2 linked regions of the Styela clava genome follow. The protein of the gene in region 2 purifies or fractionates together with the protein of the main gene of each other region. This does not show direct contact. Links are inferred from orthologs where the notes say so. Each region holds a gene or a part of one and is shown on either strand. Other genes may lie near its edges.

What was found. The genes of interacting proteins can lie anywhere in the genome.
Region 1: the proteins of uncharacterized protein LOC120342097 (region 2) and enhancer of rudimentary homolog purify together in Homo sapiens (affinity purification with mass spectrometry; 3 studies listed by BioGRID and IntAct, with this or other methods). This does not show direct contact. The link is inferred for Styela clava from reciprocal best matches to the Homo sapiens genes CHTOP and ERH.

What each region holds. Positions count from the first base shown.
Region 1 is NC_135254.1:14,324,820-14,332,587, reverse strand, and holds enhancer of rudimentary homolog, read left to right. Parts: upstream 1-4,743; 5' UTR 4,744-4,858; coding exon 4,859-4,949; intron 4,950-6,855; coding exon 6,856-7,073; 3' UTR 7,074-7,501; downstream 7,502-7,768. Other genes in the region: alpha-1,3-mannosyl-glycoprotein 2-beta-N-acetylglucosaminyltransferase-like, read left to right, coding at 143-283, 694-806, 1,358-1,628. UniProt on the Homo sapiens protein: May have a role in the cell cycle.
Region 2 is NC_135252.1:15,318,159-15,324,007, reverse strand, and holds uncharacterized protein LOC120342097, read left to right. Parts: upstream 1-3,804; 5' UTR 3,805-3,958; coding exon 3,959-4,576; 3' UTR 4,577-5,319; downstream 5,320-5,849. UniProt on the Homo sapiens protein: Plays an important role in the ligand-dependent activation of estrogen receptor target genes. May play a role in the silencing of fetal globin genes.

The sequences.
Region 1 (7,768 bases), on a different chromosome or scaffold from region 2:
TCATAAGAGTCGTATTTTTAAAAATATGAATCTTGTGATATACTTTGATACTAATTTTGAATTTATTAAGGTCACTAAAAAGGCCTCTGTTAAGGACAGTATGGCTTTATATTTTATTAAAATCAAAATATTATATATTCAGAGAAGTCTATGGGAAGAAGAATTGGTTTCCAAATGGCCACAGGCATTTTGGGATGACTGGATGAGAGAACCTGAACAAAGGAAAGGAAGATCGTGCATAAGGCCTGAGGTATCAAGAACTTCAACATTTGGAAGAAAAGGGGTAATTATCAAATGCATATTGAACTCATGGGTCTTTTGCTAAATTGGTGTGGTTGTTATTTTAAGGTTGTTATTATAGTTCTAAAACGCTACTGTTTATTGTATTTTTTTGGGTCCTTTGGGTCTTTATGTTTTGCCCCAATTTTTGCTGATTTTTATAGTTAATGGGCACACCTTCATATATCATTCAGTTCAATACTTTTAAGTTATTGTTGGAATTTCGCGGACATTCATACAGCAATGAGGTCATTTAGCCTTTGTGTCCATATATTTTAATATTGCTTCCTTGTTTATTTATAAGTTTGTGTTTGTAAGTACCTATAAGCCAGTATTGTTCTACTAATAAGATCCTATTCATTATTCATTTATTTTATTTCCATTGTGAGTAAATTGAGCTTTATGTTTGTACAGGTCAGTGCTGGACAGTTCTTTGATACTCACTTGAAATATATCAAGTTAAATGAATTTCCAGTCGACTGGTCGACAAAAGATCTCTCGTACCTCGTTAAAGATAATTATGATAAGTATGTTTTTACCTTATTGAAGTCTATTCAAGCTCAAAGGTTCTATTTTATATTAATTATGAATGTATAAGATAGTAAGTAATGTTTTGTCAAGCCGCTCTATTAGTAATTACCAACCAACGGTTAGGGAGATGTGTTTTATATTTGCTTGTCTGATAACATTCCGACTAATCTTTATATTATATTTGTGAAATAATTTAAAAGCTGTACTGTTCTACCCTCTGCCGAAATGGCATCAATTAAAATCTAACATGCAACAATATTCTGACATGCAGAAGCCATATACTTACGCTAATTCGTTGTCTAAGTGGTCAGGCTTTGTTTTTTTTTGTGCATTTAGATATATGCGGTTTCTCCGAATTGAATATTAATCTGTATATAATTCCCAACTGGTGTGATGTTATACTTGACTAATAGCTCACAAAAAAAACTCTTTTTCTACACGATTCTAAATCATGTGTTTTGACAATAATTTCCTACCTCATTTTAGAGTTTTTCCTCTCTTTATTCATGATTAGTAGACTTGCATTTCTTTTTTTTTATATTTCAAGATCTTTCAAAGATAAAGTATACAACCTTCCACTGTTTCGAATCAGCGATCTTAAAGAAAATAAAGATCCAGACTCTCGTGAAGTTCGAATTGAATACACAATGTCACATACTTTTAAAGCTTTTGCTAAGGAGCTTGGACTTATGTCCGATTTTAAAAAAGGGGTGCCAAGGACAGCATATATGGGTATTGTAACCACTATTTTCAGAGGTAGAAGAGTTTATCTTGCTCCTCCTGTAGATTGGACTGGTTATGTTGAAAGCTGGTCATGATTTTTAGCGTTTGAGTGGTATTGGTCAACATTGTTTCATGTATGCAGTATCAGTTGCAATAATACTCAAATTTTAAATGCCGAATTATCCGAGTGGGAATGTTTTAGCCATTGTCATGCGTTGCGATTTGATTGTTTGCCATGCGATTTTCTACCATTTTGAAATAAAAAATTTCCTGAATTATTTATATTAAGCACAATTAGGAGAATAATATTCAAGAGCAAAGGTCGTAGTTGCAAGTCATTTTGTGACAATCCCTAGGGGCAATTCGGTCATACCTAAAAACACCTACCGACCCCCCCCCAAATCGTGTCTATATAACATACTCTTTACTTAGAATTTGAACGTCTTCGAGAGATTGTGAAACCGTATTGAATAGTGTTATGTGCAATCAAAATATTCATTTTGGGTCACGCCAAAGGTAGAAATGTATCAAATGGCTTATGCTTTATTTGGTGTGCTTTATTTTTACTGTTTTAAAATGTGCCAACGAAAGTACTCTTGAAGATATAAATACATTTGTCTTCGTATATAGAAATGGTATAGAAGACCTCGATTTTGTATGAAATATTCCGACAGAATTCAAAATTATATCCATCTTTGCTTCTACTTTTTATGGCATCTCTGTATTACTGAGTGAAGAAGTTAATTTTATCAAGGTGTGAAGTGAGGAAATTTTTATTATCTGCGTATTATCGATAATCATATACATGCACTGTTTAAGACATATTTTTGAATGTTGATATTATATGATTTATGAAATGTAAAATGTGCAACATGAATTTCAAATCAACACACATTGTTAATTGGGTATCATCTGTTCAACACAGGCCTGTTGGTTCAGTTATTCTCTCCCAGTTCCAGAACAGTTTTTATTGAGGAAAACCTACCGGTAATTGAACGTAATTTTTTCTTCATCATTTTCATTGAATTGGTGGTTGATATATTTTGAAAGTGATCATACTTATGTTAGGCATAGGCTTCTGTCGCCTCAGATAATATATTCATTTTCATTTGCCACTCTGCTATAATATGATCAATAAATGCGCTAGAAACAAAATCTTATTAAATTTTTCTATATAATGATTAATGTACATTCTATCTACAAATCTCCTTTTGCCAAGTTGCAACTGTTACAAGGCATCGTTAATATCTGATCAAATTTTTAGAGACCAGTACTTATTCTGATTGTATTTGTACAAATCGCCGATAATTCTCAATTCAGCAATTTAAAAGATATCTTGATCAAGGACTACCCAAAGTTTTACCAATGTGCTTTTGAAATATATTGTGCAATCTACATAATTAAGTCTTTTGCAGCAGTGAGATTAGGACAGTACCTCTTCAAGTTTTTTGATTGTGCGTATTTTGTAATGTCTCCCACGGAACACTGCCTTGAAAACTCTTTAATCGCCATTTGTTAATAAAAATGTTCGCCCGATAGGAATATTGGCAGGAATGGAAATGGAACCACAAGGACGCTTTGGGTTTTCAAATAAGTGAGCATGTAATTCGAGCATTGTGCCGATTTTGTTCAAATTCCGCAGTGTTTAAATGCTCTTCGTTTGCCTTGACCAACTAGCTGCTCTTGTGATATATTGTACAAGGTTTGTTAGTTTAATCTTGATTGTTCAAGATGGTTGAACCGTTGATAAAGTTGAACAGTTTATCTTTATCCTATTCAAAATTTTACATGCCAAAGAAAACATTCGTCAAAGATTTATGCGGTAAATCACAAATTAAGAGTAGGAGGCTGAATCGTACCGCCCCTGCTTGGTTTTAAAGCATGATTGTTGCAAGCGTGAACTACTGAACTTCCCCGAAAATAAGACCCAGTCCGAATTTTAAAAACGATTTTAATATAAGCCCGACTCTTAAAATAAGACCTAGTCAATGACGCAATTTTTTTTTTGACCTAGTCGATAGCAAGACATCTCGCTTACACGTTTAAAATGATTAATAATCTATGTTTTGCAGTTATTTTGAATAAAAACGCTATATTTATGATTTAATGGATATCGGTTTTCATGTTTTGTATACTTGAAAATCCCGTAGTTCTCTACTTTGTAATTTTGTTTTTGAAAATGAAAATAAGCCCTAGTGTTATTTTTCGGAGAAAGATTGAAATAAGACCCAGTCTTAACCCAGTATTAACACAGTGACAATCATCAATATTTACAACCAATGAAATAAAATCGTCATTGATGTTAACACTGGTATGGGATATGTTATTATTTTTGGACTTATTTGAAGATATAGCTGGAAATCCAGAACAGCATTATCATTTATACATTGATCATCCAGACCTAATTTTGTATGCTTCTTTGAGGTGTTCAATTGTCTCAAAACAGGACCCTTTCCAAATAAAGACAAAATAGAGAAAGGCGAAGACTTTTTTCAATTAGCTGTCAGTTCTTTTCAGCAACTTGGGACAAAATTGTGAAGATGTGATCTAGTTTGCACGCACAAAATGGCGAAAATCATTGGACTATCTATAGGATCCCATTAGACATAGGGTCAACGGGGATTGAACCACGTGCCGCTTACATGTACTGCTACCTTGCGATATCAATTTTTGATAAAACTAAAGATCCTGAAAGACGGTATGTTAGTCGTTGGGAAGACATAATAACAAATATCCATGCTTTCAAGTCCATCCATTCTATCCAAGTCCATGCTTCTGAAAAAAGACAATATAACTAATCCCATACCCGACTTGGAATGGTAACCGGACGAGAGGCCGTAGTTCGCCATATGGATAAGCCGTCTTATCGGCTTTCCTCTCCCCCGGGATAAATATGTAAATCCTATTCTATCCTAAATAATTATTTTTGATTCACAAATATTTTTTGGAACTATACTAAAAAGAGGCGATGTTTACAACTACGCTTGAATATATATGTCTAGTCTAGTCGAAAGAAATGTCTGAGCGGCGGCATAAATTGCAATTGTTACGTCATTGTTGACTCTTTGCTGATTGGTAATTGTTACGGAAATAACAGGGAAATCGATGCTCGGGAAAACATCCATAGTTACGGGGCAAATACATCGCGCACGGAACACATTTGTATGAAATTCGGTAGTTTAGGTTTGTCTGAAATATGATAATCTGACAAAACGGCGCTTGCTTATCTGACTGGTGACTGGGTTCTGCTGCTGTCGATTCCTTGCGTGCGAATACTGGAATAGGCGGTTTTGTTCTCCTCGTAGCAGATTTTAGAAAATTTAAAATGTCTCACACAATACTTCTTGTTCAGCCAACGAAAAAGCCTGAGGGGCGGACATATTCAGACTACGAATCGGTGAATGAATGCATGGAGGGTGAGTATCCTAATATCAGTACATATCATATCAGTACATAATGTCTGAATGTGGTACGGTACCGTAATGTGACCTGCATACATTGTCAGTTTCAATAATTCGTAACGAGTCGTTATTATCAATTGTTTTATTGTATTGTGTCTGTTTATTGAATGCTAATATGCTTAAAAACCATGACTACCAACAATACCGGTATAAGGGTCTCATGTAGTTTCGTACCGGTACTACCGTACCTAACATACTTCTAGTGAGCGTAGCATACCGGTAACAATTTTTCGATATGTCAATCCTAACTGCCATCTGACTACGCCATAACTACGTTAGGTATGGAACTACACGAGACCCCAATATAAATGCCCCAAATTGCGCGGCGGTGTGGCTCAACGGGCTAAGCGTTAGGAATACGCTCACCACCGCACCTCTAATTACTCTGCGTGGGTTCGCAGGTTCGAATCCCATGCAGAGATGGTTATGTGCGAGAGGATTGCTGGACTCCTCGCCGTCGTTGGGTGGTTCACGTAACCGCTGGTCGGTTACGGCTTCCTCCACCACCAAGTCCATGCTTCCGAAAACAAACAATAAAACTAATCCCATACCCGACTTGGAATGGTAACCGGACGAGAGGCCGTGGTTCGCCATATTGATAAGCCATCTTATCGGCTTTCCTCCCCCCCCCCCCCCCGGGATAAATATGTAAATCCTATCCTATATAAATGCCCCAATACAAAGTCCAATTGATGTCCAGGAGTCACAGATCAGAATACAATACGAACTACTGTGCTTATAATTCATATAAGACAGCAAATATTTTCTGAAAATGGTGCTTGATGGTTTCATGCTTTGAATTAAGTAGGCCTATCAGTATTAGAAATCTCAAAAATAGTTTCCGGTGCATTTCGACAATTTCCAGAACGCCATATCAATTTTATGCCTAAATACCAGTACTTAAGAATTGTAATAATTGTTTCTCGTCTTTATAATGTTCATATATAATGAACATTGATATTTAAATAAAAAAACACAGCGATACATCAAGAAAGGACAAAACATCTAGGAAACTAATGTTTTAAGAAGAGAATTTAATTTAAAAAAAAAAAACCAGTATGACGGTCGAGAATAGCCCCCACATTAAAAGACATCAATTATACCAGTGAGTGCAAACCCCTCTTTTACTAGACTGTCTGGGCTTTCATTTTGGCACGAACAGCCACTGTGCAGTGAACGAATAGAAAGCGCAGACCAAAAAAATTACACCATTGGATTCCTTCCTTAGAAAAAATAATATAACCTCCAAAAAAAAAAATAGCAATTGAGAGTTTTTAGTACAATACTGCAATTTTGGTCATACGCTGGCCGGCGCACGTCGCTATGGTTTAAAAGTATTATTGAGACAGGCATGGCGCGATCTGACACATCTACAGTTACATACTACAGTTATGCCAGACGATCTCTTCCCAGAGACAAATAGAGTTTGTTTTATTGAACCAAATGTCTGGTCAAATATGTGAATTCATTTTAATTTTTCATAGCATGTCCTTGATGAATAAATTGTAAAATATATAGATAACTTTTTCATATCAGCTTATAATGGGAAAATTATTATAATTGAACTAGATTTAACCCAAAATTCAAATTAAAAACTTGTTCGTTTAAATATGGTTTGTTACTATATACTGATATGTGTTTACTGTTAACACAGGATAAATGTGAGAATATAAAATTAATTACTCAATATCAAAGGTGAAAGCATTACGCTGGAAATCTACACTTCAGTTACCTGTCCATTTTTGTATGCGTGTATTTCACTCACATAAAACAGATTGAAAATATCAATCACATAGTACTAATATGTTAGCATGTGTTTTTCCAAAAATATTTTTATTTTGAAATAATTTTACATTTCTAGGTGTGTGCAAGATCTATGAAGAACATCTCAAGCGAATCAATCCCAATTGCCCTTCAATTACTTACGACATCAGTCAACTGTTTGATTTCATCGATGAACTTGCTGATCTCTGTTGCCTAGTATTTCAAAAATCTACCCAGACATACGCACCATTCAACAAAGAGTGGATCAAAGAAAAAATCTACATTCTCCTTCGGAAACAAGCTGGCAAGACATAAATATTGGAGCGAAGATACTAGGCATGAATTATGGAACGATCTATCTTCAATCATGCTTGAGAAATAGATACCCATTTCTAGTTTTAGTTTGATTGAAGATTGCCGTCATTGACTTTTGTTTTGACAGGCTTGAATTGACTGGTATAACACATTATTGAATGTAGTTTGCAATTTTATTGACCACTTTACGGAGTTGAATTTCAATATCTGTATTTGATTTCTCTTACCAATGAACGTCCTTCAATCTCAAATGTAATTTTTGTGATTGTTTTATCTTTTAACACAAGATAGGCAAGCATCTCCTTTGTGTAAGTAGTGTCAATGGTTTTTAATTGTTGGTATCGTCTTTGATTTCTTATAGCTGTCATCGTGAAGAATTAGTTTGGGAAGCAATGTTATTTGATATGTAAATAGCAATTTGAAATGTTTGTTCGTTTTTATTTGTATAATGCGTTTCAGTTGGGAGAAATGTTAGAAATTTGGAGTTTCACAGAATATCAATTGCAGTAGTGCAATTCTCAATGTGGTGGCCATTTAATGAGATGTCATGAAAACTAGCTATGAAATCTCCTGTATACTGTCAAATCGATGTTGTATATGACGTCATTGCAACTGATAATAAGGACTAAAGTTTGGTCAAAGATTTGCATGTGCAGATAATCCATTTGAGCTTGACCAGAGAGAATTGTGCCTAC
Region 2 (5,849 bases):
TATAGGGTCAAGGGTTGGGGATATCCGCAATGCTAGCGCTCGTGCTGCAAATTCGACAAATACCGGTACCGTAGTCACTTTGAAATTCGAAAGCTCTGATGCTTAAAATGTTCAACAGTACTCACACCATTTTTAGGATTATTTACCTCGGGGGCGATGCCAGTATAGTTAAAACAAAAATATGAAATGTGAAGATATGAGTAAACTAAGATAATTTTTTATTATACCACACCTAGTACAGTACCGGTAGTATTCGGCCATTGGCAAATATAAAATTTAAATAGTCTACTTCTATCTGTCTATGGTTCAATCTCAGACGGGTGGACCAGCCTGGAGCCATTTGAAGGAAATTTTGTTGAGATTACATGGATAGGTAGGTGGCAAGTGTTGGATTGAGTGAGTGTAGGGATGTAGAATAATTTTCTATTCTAGAATACTTGAATTGAGAATGCTGAATCCCATTCTACAGTTCTATTTTTCTGTTTTTATTGTTATTCAAATGTGAAGATCGTGCCACCACATTCAGACATTGGGTCTGGTATAGTTTAGTACCACATGCACTTCTAGTTGGCCTGGCTCAACTATTTTTGCATATGTCAATCCTAACCCAGTAACCCCTACCTGGCTACGTCACCGAAAAATTACGTCATTTCGACGTCACAGTGGCGTAATAAGGCCCACCAAAGTATGCGGAAGGTAGTCCAAAACGCGCAGACGATCATCCGAAATCGAGCAAGCTATTTCTCTCGTTTTTTCGTCACAACGATCCCGATACCAGAGAGATCGCCGGCGTTAGCGAGTTCGTTATCAGCGGCGCAGATGCCATTTTGGGCGATCGTAATTATACTTTGACAAGCCCTATGAGTATGACGTGATGATGACGTCGTGGTCCAGTCTGGATTTCATGGCCTTTTTGAACGAGAAATCGGGCGTGCAATCAGAAATTCCCGCGTGCAAATAAGAATTCCTGGCGTGCAATTATAGCTCACGACGTGCAAAACAACTGCACTCGCGTGCAACTGACTTTGACATCAGATACCTCTCAATACATCCGCGTAAAATTACCGGTATCGGATAAAAAATACGTTGAATCACAGAAAAAATGGACGTTTGACCTTTGACCCCAAACATTATTTCTACAGTTTGTCGCTAATTTTGAGAGTGTTTGTGCGACTTTGGATACCGGTACTGTTCAGTACATCCGTGTAAAATTATTGGATAAAAAATACGTTGAACCAGAGCAAAATGGACATACTTTGTCATTAATTTTGGTAGTGTATTTACGTAGAATTAATGGATAAAAAATACGTCAAATTAGAGCAAAATGGACGTTTGACCTTTGACCCCAAACATTATTTTCATACTTTGTCACTAATTTTGGGAGTGTTTGAGCAACTTTAAATACCGGTACTGTTCAGTACATTCGTGTAAAATTATTGTATGAAAAATACGCTGAATCAGAGCCGTACTTGGCCATTGGTGCGGAGGCGATCTTTTCGTCCATAACTATTCTCACGGGATTCATATTTCCTATCATTCAACACGATATGGACCTTTCCCCGAGCATCGACTTCCTTGTTTACTTCGTGACATTGGCCAATCAGCAAGATGCAAAAAAGGACGTGAGAGGAATTTTTCGCGGTTCAAAGGTTGGGGAAAGGTCCATGGTCTTTTTGCTTCGCAATATTTCGATCAGACCAAATCTTGCAAGCTGGTATTTGTCGACAATTGTGGAGTTATAATATTTTGGCATCTTTATATTACTGGATTATTGACTTTAAAACCATTTAAACCGATTTACATTGGTGAGCAATTGCAAATTTTCGGCGTGCAAAATTGTTTTCGCTCGCGTGCATTTTTGCGGAGCGCTAGCGCCCTCGGGCGTGCACCTGCCATGGAATCCAGTCTGGGTCGTGGTGACGTAATTTTTGGATGGCATAGTCAGGTGGGGGTTAGGAATAACATATGCAAAATTCGTTATGCTACGCCCACTGGAAGTACTTGTGGTACCAAACTATACTAGACCCCAGACATTGCTGGATTGAAATTTAAGCAAAATTTCAAACATATTACTGTCTTGGTATTTATTGGAAATTACCTGAGCATTGGTTTTTATTTGATACCTAACAGGCATTCCTCAGGACAGCAGGACAATAAAATTCTAGAATTGTTCGAAATTCATGTGATCCCTAGATAGAGAGATACTGATATGCTAAATTAGGACTCGCATTATACATTTTAATAGTAAACTAATAATATTTGATCGAAATTTATCACAAATAATGTTATAACATTTAATGCCTTGCTTTTGGTTCACATCATTTTTTCGAGAGAAATCGTAGGCCGCTAAAAATTGTCTATGTAAAATGGAGTATGGTAATTGGAATAGAGGGTGGCTTACCCACTTTGCGGCCAAGACCTATTTGCGACCATCAACTTCATCGATTAAATTAATGTCGAAAAAATTAACGAACCGAGACGATATTTCTCACGCGTTATCGTCCACTTACCGTATCCCTCGTAGCTCTGCGAAATTACACTAAAATGCGGCCACAAACAAAAAAGTTACTACCGAAAACCCGACCGAGGAAAAAAAACGGACCCTTTTTCCATGTCGCCAACTACCCATTGTCCCTTTGAAAAAGCTTGAAAATCCATACAAATATAAGAGATAAAAAGATGAAACTTGGCAGGTGGGTAGAGTTCTGTTTCTTTCAACCATCTTTAAAGTTTTACGTTTCCACATTCAAAGGAGGGGGAATAGGAGGGTGCGCATTTCCAATACGTCGATAATAGCATTGTCGACCAATTCGCGACCACCGTGTTTTTGTTTGTTTGATTGCTGTAATGCGGTGCTTTATTTATAATTTGACGAGTTTTGTTCGAAATAACCTTGTTCTTAAAATATATGACGGTCAGAAATGCAATTAGAAGCTAATTTTTTTCACGCATGGCTGCGTATGCCCTAGTCTCGACGCAGCAGAAATGATGTTCAAGGCTTGAAATTTGTGGTCGCAAACTGGTCGTTCGGTCGCAAATAGGTCTTCAGAGTGTCGTACTTTGGTCGTAGAAAGTTAATTCGAGGTTTAGCGTGTAGAAGAAATGCCCATGCACCTACTGTGAAAAAATTACCAGGTTAGAAATATTGGTTTTTGTTTCATAGCGGTTTGAATGAAATCGACCGCAGACTGGCTACGCCACCCTATTGCCAGTAAGTTGGCACCAATGATTATTATATGTTCAGATGTTACTTTTATAGTAGAGATGAAAAACGCGAAAATTGTGCATTAATGAGATTTCGTTGTGAGGTTTCATCGTCTACTTATTCTGAATATGTCGGCTGAGATTACCATGTTTGATGTCTGTCACTTTTACGGGCTCTCCGAGAGCAAGTGCAAGTATAATCAAATGAGAGTGATTTTGGCATACATTGATTAATGAATTAGAAAAGTCAGCAGTGATGACATCATGTTTGCAGATGTCATTGATTTATTCATAAAATTACCACATTGTTTTCTTTGCTAAGTTTGCATTATAATCATGGAATCATTGGGAATCTCATTAAATCTCAAATAATTTCAGCCACTTACGGACTTATAATTACTGATACCAATATTGCAAAATTGTTCTGGGAAACGAATCTGGCCTAATCAAAATAATCGAAAAAATGGAGCCTTGCTTAGAATAGCGGCAAAAAATGAAAAAATTTCGCTCTATTTTTTGCAGAAGATTTGTTTATATATATATATAGCCTAATTATTATACTAATTTTATTCATTGCCAGATATTATTGTGTATTTACTTGGACAAGATTTATTTTCTCAATATTTTGCAGAATTGTGTGTACTGTAAGATTTAAAGTTGAATTATTGACCCGCTTGGAATGAGATAGTTTAGTGACGATTAGAGTTTTGTTACTTATTATCCAGTTATTTTTGGCGTATACTCCAGAAGTAGAATGGCGTCCAACCCACCTGCCAAAATCGTTCTCAAAAGCTCAACCAAGGTCAGTCTTAATGACCGTTTTTCTACGATCATGAAAACACAACGAACAACTTCCCAAACTGTGCGAGCTCAAATGTCCAATGAGAGAATGGCAAGTGAAAAGAATCGTCGACTCGCACAACAAATGGAAAGACGGCCAGCAGTTGCTGCTGCGCTTGATAATAAGCCGGTGTCGATTCGTGACAGATTAGGAAGTCCTCCAGCACGAGGAAGACGGGGAATAAGAGGCGGAAGGTTTCAAAGCCGTGGACAGTTCGTTCGAGGTGGTCGTGGTCGTGGAGGGTTTCCCAGTCCTCGCGGCAATTCGTTAAATAGAGGCCGCAATCCAGGAAGACGTGGATTTATTCGTCCTACGAGAACTGGTAGAGGGCGTGGAACGGGTATGAGAGGTAGAGGGCGTGGCATAAGTCGTGGCAGAGGTCGGGGAGGTCGTCAAGGAAGAGGTGGAGCTAATCGACGAGAACCTGCAGACAAAGACAAACTTGATGAACAACTTGACAGTTATATGACTAAAACAAAAGGTGCAATGAATGCTGAGTTGGACAGCTACATGGCCGAAATAAACAATTGAATCCAAGAACAATCATGTGATACTATGGTTTCTTCATTCGAGGGAGGCATCTATGCGCCATCCTTTTTGTAACATTTGTTATTCGAGTTGGTCTAACCACTGCTGTGCGTGTGTGAGTTTCAGAATTTTATATCGATTCAAGGTGGGTTATACCAAATAATCCATTACAAAAAGATGGCTGTCAATAGTCTTGTCTTTTAAATTAGAAAAGCAATAATAATCATTTTTTCTCATCTGGCTATCTACAATCTTGATTACTTGGTATATAGGCAATGTGTAGACATTTGTGTATGGTTTTTTTTGTATTTCTCTGCTGTCCGTATTCTAAATTGATTTTGTAAACAGCAAAACTGTCGCATTCCTATTTTTTTTTGCTAAATTATGGAATTTTTCACCACATAAATGACAGATTTTAGGAACTGTTTTGAAAACTTTTCTGAATTTGAATTAAGTTTTGGGCCAATGTCTAGTTGTCTTTAAATGGAGAAATTGTACAAAATTCTTGTTTCCAAAAATTTGATGATGAATTAGTTTGACACATATTTTATACTACATTTATGTTATTCCATTTCAAGATTTAGACCGATCTTATTTCTGGTTTTCAAAATTTATTGTGCTTCATTTGTTGAAATGCATTTACAATTATTTTTGATAACATGTTTATAGAGGTGATTGGTGGTGGTATATTATTGCTTGTGATAAATGAATGGACAATTGTAATGCATTCGCAATTCATTTTTAGAGTTGTATTTAGAATATTGTATCATTGAGAATACCTAGTTCTTTGAGGTGGAATCGAATCTATCGACATCTGAAATAATGACGAAGTAATCTTGAACATATTTCAGGAGAAGATTGGATGCGGAATTTTGTGACTTGCAATCATTCTTTGGGCTCTGAATATCTTGCTTCAAATACCTGTGGTGGTAATTTATGGAATGCAAGTCCACGGCTTATTTGCTATGATTGATACAGATATTGTTGCATGACATATGAAAACACACACAAACTATTGAGCAATTTGTAAATTGCTATTCATAAGCAAACACTACCACAGGTATAAAGATGTTTGCCCTAAGAAGCTTGTATGAAGATGAGTAAATTATGGACACTAACATTTGAAGTTAATCAACTCCTAGACTGAGGATGCCGTAATGAAGTGAAGAAGAAGAATTTTAAAGTCTTCAACCATTAAAGAGAAATCATGGTTCTGCTGCTATCAATAATAAAATTTCTTTTTATGTGATATTGCATTCAATATATTTTGCTATTA